Caenorhabditis elegans: one gene and its partner. The protein of the gene in region 1 purifies or fractionates together with the protein of each later gene. This does not show direct contact. Each region holds a gene or a part of one and is shown in the gene's direction. Other genes may lie near its edges. The genes, in order: unc-85 and Y62H9A.3.

Region 1 (3,883 bases):
TGAATTCTTTAATGATGTGCGCATGGATGATGATGATGACAGACAACCAGCTCAGGAAATGGACTTTGGTGACAACTTCGATTTTCCACAAGAAGTAGAACATCAAGAGTGTGCTCCGATCCCTATCCAGAGTGGATTCGCTGGAGAGGTAATTTTTGGTGCGAATTTCAACTCTTAAAATATTATTTTACAGAACAAAGAGAACGAGGACGCAGAGGATTGGTCTGATCCGTTCGGTTCTTCAAATTCCAGCAGACGTGGCCAGCTTGAAGCCTATGGATTCGGAAATACTTCGACCTACAAGGAAGACGATGGCAAATGGGCGAAACGCGCCAAGCACATTCTAAAGAAAGTCTCCGCGGATATTGAGACTTCGGGACAAGCGGACTTCTCATCTGTCACAGCAACTGCCAAGAATCGCAAGCAAGCTGCAGAGCAATTTTATTCGTTGCTTACCCTGGCCAAGTCTCAAGCAATAAGTGTTGATCAATCAGAGCCATACGGAGAGATCGTAATTCGTCCAGGAGCCAATTTCAAAGAAGCATGTCCACTGAGCTCTCCGAAACCGATGGGACTTGGAAATACAATGGAAAATTCCACTATGAGAACCCCAATGAGACCAGTTTAATCGTTTTAGCTTATTATTATTACTCGCCATGCATAGTTTAACCTCTTCATTGTATATGGTATCTCGATTTTCTTAAAAGCAAGTATTATTTTTATTCCACGATTATTCATATACGGATATTATTTTTGCGGTATTATTTGTTCGAAAAGTACGAATGTACTATCTTTTTCTGTAAATAAAAAGCATCACGGTTTTAATGTTCTTGTTAATTGCTCAGGTTCCGATTAGTCGAGAGAAGAATAGCGAAAAAAAAAAGATTAACTCGGCTCTACTCAACTTCAACGTTTCCGTGTACAATTTCATTCATTCCATCTAGTTTCAAGTGATTTGAGATTCGCTTTCTTCGTATGAAAAAATGACTACATAATTATGAAACTTGGTGAATTTCATCTACAAACGCGTAAACGTTATTAAAAAAGCTGTTAAAATCTGGAAATTACATTTTTCCATAACTTTCAAGACAGGACACTCCGCTGCATTAGAAAATGTCTTCGAGACTAAATGTACGGATTTTACTAAATTTTGAGGCAATTCCGAATAATTTTTGCATTTCAGGCCCACCGTGAAACATTCACGAGGGTACGCGCAGAAAGAGAAACGCAGAGGGGGTACGTTTTCGTAAGGGGATTTTTTCGTAAGGAACGCTTTCAGTAGGGCAATGTGCGGCGCGCCTTTTCGCAAGCCCGCCGCACAGTCCTTCGCAATCGATTCGAAATCGATTGAAACCCGTTTTTGTCATCGAAAATTCTGAAAATATCCGTATTTAGCTCGAATAAAACTAATTAATTTCCATTAAAAATCCGTTTTTAATTGAATTCCGTTCGAAATTTCCTGTTGGAAAAATAAATAAATAAATACGAAGAAGCGTGCGGCGCATTGCAAAAAGCCGTGCGGCGCATTGCGAAGGACTGTGTGGCGGGCTTGCGAAAAGGCGCGCCGCACATTGCCCTACTGAAAGCGTTCCTTACGAAAAAATCCCCTTACGAAAACGTACCCCCTCGAAACGCAGAGAACAAAATGCAAGCGCGCTCCACCGGTACGCGCCAATCGCCACCATTTTAACTTACATAATTGCGGGAATTTTTGATTTCTCATTTTTTCTCATCATTTGCGGATTCATTTTTGCAATTTCATTTACCTAAAATTGATACACTTTTTGTTAAAAATGATTTTTTTTTCAGTTTTATTTTGTTTCATGCCAATACTGTTGTGAATTGTCTTTTATTTTGAAAAAGTGGGCTCCTAAATAATTAATTATATTTTTCTTTCAGATGGCTTCCCGTGTCAACATTGTTCAAGTACAAATTCTCGACAATCCTGCGATGTTTGTCGACAAATTCAAGTTGGAGATCACATTTGAAGTTTTTGAGCACTTGCCGCATGGTAAGAAAGAGGAAAATATAAACTCATCGATAATAATGATAATTTTCAGATCTCGAATGGGAATTGGTCTACGTCGGATCCGGAACATCCCGAGACTTTGACCAAGTTCTCGATTCAGCGCTCGTTGGTCCAATTCCAGAAGGACGCCACAAGTTTGTGTTCGACGCGGATCATCCGGATATCTCGAAGATCCCAGTCGATGATATCGTCGGTGTCAGCGTACTTCTCCTGCGCTGCAAGTACAACGATCAGGAGTTTATCAATATGGGATGGTTCGTGGCAAATGAGTACACCGAGGAAGAGCTCAAAGAGAATCCCCCATCGCAGCCACTCATCGAAAAGCTTTCCCGCAAAGTCGAAACTGAAGATCTTCGCATCACCACATTCCCGATTCGCTGGACTGATGAGGATCCGGTCGCAGAGCCTGTCGAGGATGAGGCTAACAGAGTATTCGCGGAAGATGACCTCATGCCTCTGAATGATGATGGCCAGGAAGATGACGATGAGGAGGAAGAGGTGAGAAAATGAATTTTACTTATTCAAAAATTAAATAATTTTATTCAGGATGATGACGAGATGGAGGCCAACGCTGAAGAAGTGGATTTGAACGAGAGCTTCAATGAACGATTGGCCAATGCACTTGACGGGGCCGAACAGAAAGGCGCAGATGAGAAAATGGAGGACGATGGAGCAAATGAGGATGTTGATATGGCTGGTAAGTGTTACTTGGTTTCTCTAACCCCTTCTTGTTTCGTGATGTGTGCTTCTCACCCTGTAATTATAGATGACGAGCCTGGCGTTCAGATCAACACTGACACGAAAGTTCCGGAATCGATGGCGGAGCCACTCTCAGACAAGACAAACAACGAAATGGTCCAGTGATTTCACTTCCAGTTAATTTATATATTTTGAACTTATTTTTATTCCCACCCGATTTTCAGTGACTGTCAAAAATTCACATAATTCGTTCTTTCATTTTTTTTCTTTTCAAGAATTTTCACTTTGAATGTTTTCCGAATAAAACTGTACAGTGTCATTCATTCAATGTTTTTCTTAAAACAAACAACTGAATTATATAAAACTGGTTTATTGTGATTGTACTATATATATAATACACCGGAGTAAAATAAACAGGCAAATTGATATGACAGTTTGAACGTCAGCTTGATTTGTAGAGATCACACCGTTTCAGTAAAGAAATTGATTTAAAAAGAAAATAACTGGAATTTTTAAAAATGTCTAGCGAGTTCTACTTTTGATTTTCCTCGATTTTTACTACATCCTATCCATTTTCTCGTCCGGTTCATCGCCGATTGGCGAAAAAAGCGAACAACTTGCTTTTGTATTCTGGTGTCTGACGAATGACCACATTGAAGAATTGATCCATTAGCTTTTCAAATTCTCGGAATTCCGGTAGAAAGTGCAATGTTTGTTTGACAGCCGGCTCTGAAACGGGCGAGGATTACGGTAGCTACGGGTGACCTGAAAAGTTAGATAATCCTCCAATGGGACGAGTGGGAATCAATGAAAGACACGGGGGGAAGTATAACAGAGAATAATCGGCGTGTAGAAGAACCTATGTCGGATTCGTTGTATTTAAAAGCTTCGCGGAATAGGCCTTCGAGAAGTTGTGCTTGTTGTTCAGCATCAGTAACGTCGTGAAGATGAAGACTGAAAAAACTTTTGTTTAATAAACAATTTAAAACTTGAATAACTTACTGTTTACAATCCCGTGGCCGCTCACATCTTCCATTAAGTTCGAACTTGCACATTTTGAGTAACAATGTACGACATTGTTCGGGACGATCAGGTATAGATGATGAGACCACTGACGTAACATCTGGACTATTTCTATAAAACATTAATTCATTA
Region 2 (3,514 bases), on another chromosome or scaffold:
ATAAGTTTCTAAATTTCTCATTTAAACTAAAAACTTAAGCGCGTCCTACAAATTTTTCTATAAACTAGGGCTCCCATGCGGTCGCCGCGACGGCCTCACGGCGTCACCCACGCCGCATTTATAGTGAGGCGCGGACCTCCGAACGTGTCGACCGCTTGCAAACAACCACCTCTTCGCACTATGTTGCACACACACCAAGCTACTCATTTCACGCAATTTGTTGGCTTTTTGATATTTGCCAACAAATCTTTTATATGTAGTACAACGGTACCTCAATTATGAGAGGAGTCCAGTCAACAGAAATATCATAACTTGGTTCCATGGAAAAACTGCGGAAAACTAACATTTGCAAATTTGATGAGTTCACTTCCTCGTGAAAAAAACAATAGGACTTTTAGAGTGCATTCAGTAAATTGTTCTAAAGGAGCGGATGAAAAAAAAAACTGTCTTACATTCAATAAAGTACAAGTAAAACCCTTTTTAATCTAACGAATGCGAAAAGAATTATCGCACTACTTTTCTTCCATATTTGGATGATCATAGAATGAATTTCATTGTCTCATTGAAATTTAGTTAAAGTATTTTCTTTACATAATTATCCAAATTTGAACTTTTTTTTTGTTTCACATTCTGTAACAAATTTGACTTTAAACTTTATCAACCAAAAACTCGTAAAACATTTAAATAAACAGAATCATTAAAATCCTGTCAATGGTCTTGGTCCGGGAAGTTCAACGCATGTGACTTTTCGGATTGCTACTTCTCTGTCGTTGAATGATTTTCCAACAAAACTGAAATTTAGACTTTGAATATAAAAACAACAAGTTGACTTAATACGGCTCACTTTTTGTCGTCGCATTTCGCAACGTAGTCGAAATTATATCCCGATGCAAGGAGAATAGTGTCTTGAATGACGAATTCTGTCTCAAACTTGAAAGATGCGTCTGTTCCTTCCTTTTTTGCTACAAGGGCATATGGTTTTCCACTGTTTGGACAGGCGATAATGTTGTAGGTCTTCCCCTTACGCTCTACTGTTCTGTAAAAAAACAACTTTTTGAACCATTGGAAAATAATTTATAGTCAAAATGAAACAGAACAAAATTAGCCCGTGATATAATTAATTATACAAACTTTGCGAAAACTTTAGTTTTGCTCTCACATCACGAAACAATTGAACGAAAAAGTAAATGCAATATGTATATTTTTTCTATAACGAGTATTGAGAACGAAATATGTGAATGTTTCTATTTTGTCGGGTTTTATGTTTAAAACGTCTTATTTTCTCTAAAACTTTTTCCAACGTTGATCAGTTAGTTTCATTTTGCAAAAATATTCGAAAAAAAGCTAACTTATGGTATTTTTTGTGATAACTCACTTGATGTCAGCACGAGCGGTTCTGTGCTTATGAACAGAAAAGTGTTTGATTTCCTTGCATTGTTCATACTCATTTTGTTCATATACATTGTTTGGTGGTCTATACTCGTTTCCATTGGTACCGTAGTTCGTTGCAGGTGGTTGTGGCGCATATACACCTGGATATTCTGGGTAACGCTCATCTGAGTTCGATCTTGATTTTAATTCATTCTCAGAAGAATCCGATGAGTCAGAAGTAGAGTATCGATTGTTTGAATGATGTCCAGGATAGTGAGAAATTGTACCATAATCATTGTATTGGTTCGCAGATACGACGACCGCACATGCGATCACAGATAAAAAGAGAGCATACATAGTGAACAATTTCGCTGAATTGTGCGTCACCTCTACTTGATTTTATAGACGATTTTGTTGAATCGTCGACAAAGTTTAATCTGGAATATGGATCACATCACATCATACGTTTTCTAAACATATGATTCATGCGAAATCTAGACCAAATATAAAACGGTCCTCAACAGAGGAGAGCCATACATCGGTGCTCTGCCAAGATGAAATATTTTGTTTCGCTTGTATTACTTGCTGCTGTGGCTTCTGCAGAATACCAGATTGTGACATACTATTGCAATTTAAAGTATATTTATATTAATGATTACAGAACGAGAAGTCCTACTCAGGTGAAGTTGAAGTTGAAGACTACCCAAGACCAACAAAGAAACCAACGTACTCGGTGCCGGATCTAGGACCACTTCCACCAGCATCATACCCAGTTCCAAATTTCCCTAATAGTTGGCCGCTTCCGCCAGCTTCACGACTAGTTCCAATTCCACAAGAATATCCAGCTCCGTTCCCCCCAGGACCATATCCTGACTCAGAAAATGGGGGATCGTATCCACCACGCAACTATGGTGAGTTCTCAACTGTATTCTCATTTTAAAAGTTTAAACAATCAGAAGTCAAAAAATTGAAAGATCTTCGTGGTGAAAAAATTGTTGAAGCCCGTGTTAGGTGAGCAAATCCAAGTTGCAAGAAGAATTATACATTCAAATTTAGATACTACACATATGATAACACCCATTACGCCGTCATTTCATGCCCCAGAAATCCAACTCCAGGAGCATACACATGGATTTTGGTGGACTCGAAGAAAGAAATTCTACCATTTAATGTTCCTGGAACAGTAGCGTTGACAGGAGGTATCAACGTTGACTACTTAGCCAAATATGGAACTAAAGGCAAATGGGAAGGAAAAGATTTGACCAATGATAAGAAACACAGGTTCCGTCGAGTTGGATGCCTTCACGGAAATACTATGTCGTACATTCAACATTAAACTTTATCAGTTTAAACAATACATTATGAAGAAAAATAAATGTTAATTTGAGCTTTCAAAGAAAACCAATTAGTTTTGAACACAAACGGAAAAGTTAATGAAACGCTAATCGTTTCTCAAATACCCGGCGTTTAATTTTTGAAACTACTTAAAAGTACATTCCTAAGCCAAACAATAAAAGCGCATCTGTTTATACTTATAATGGAGTTGCTTTTCAAAAACAGACAGACTCTTTTCACTAAGATTCTTTTAACTTCAAGGCGCTTATTGATATTATGATCAACTAAAGGAATCAAATAATTTCATCAATTCCGTTCCGTCAGAAAACAAATAAGAAAGTTTCAGGAAATTCACCCAGATTTTTCAATAATATACGGTATTCTCCATGTGTCAATTTTATATTACATTTACAGAAAAATGGAACAATCTCCTAAAAACAATCATTTTTCACATTAAATATAGGGAGCCGGGAGGACAGAGCTATAAATTCTCAAGATGGAAATATTCATTTTCTATATACTATTTTCCACCGTTTCCCCACTCAATTTTCAATTTCTGTTGATATAATCTCCCAGTAAAAAAAACGAAAATTTTCATTTTTGAATTTCTAGCTTCATGAATAATTTATTTCAACAATCTCATTTTCAACAATGGGCTTCATTTTCTGTTTTCAATTATTAGTTGTCATAATGTTTATTTGTTTGCAAATTTGCTTTCAGTTAAACCAACCCTTCCGATTATGAAAGTGTCCCGTTGTAACTAATCTCATCCTTCAAAATAGATGTCTTTCCGGTAGTATCGGTTTTC

Evidence for each region.
Region 2: the proteins of unc-85 (region 1) and Y62H9A.3 fractionate together in Caenorhabditis elegans (co-fractionation; one large-scale study listed by BioGRID). This does not show direct contact.

Annotation. Positions count from the first base shown.
Region 1 is NC_003280.10:4,700,170-4,704,052, forward strand, and holds unc-85 (putative histone chaperone asf-1), read left to right. Parts: upstream 1-1,899; coding exon 1,900-2,011; intron 2,012-2,060; coding exon 2,061-2,527; intron 2,528-2,575; coding exon 2,576-2,726; intron 2,727-2,795; coding exon 2,796-2,893; 3' UTR 2,894-3,050; downstream 3,051-3,883. Other genes in the region: scc-1 (Sister chromatid cohesion protein 1), read left to right, coding at 1-148, 194-628; F10G7.9 (C3H1-type domain-containing protein), read right to left, coding at 3,315-3,457, 3,588-3,682, 3,731-3,862. UniProt on the Caenorhabditis elegans protein: Histone chaperone that facilitates histone deposition and histone exchange and removal during nucleosome assembly and disassembly.
Region 2 is NC_003284.9:11,878,356-11,881,869, reverse strand, and holds Y62H9A.3 (putative secreted effector protein), read left to right. Parts: upstream 1-1,898; 5' UTR 1,899-1,925; coding exon 1,926-1,985; intron 1,986-2,032; coding exon 2,033-2,282; intron 2,283-2,327; coding exon 2,328-2,382; intron 2,383-2,427; coding exon 2,428-2,707; 3' UTR 2,708-2,760; downstream 2,761-3,514. Other genes in the region: Y62H9A.4 (DUF4362 domain-containing protein), read right to left, coding at 698-791, 845-1,036, 1,376-1,728.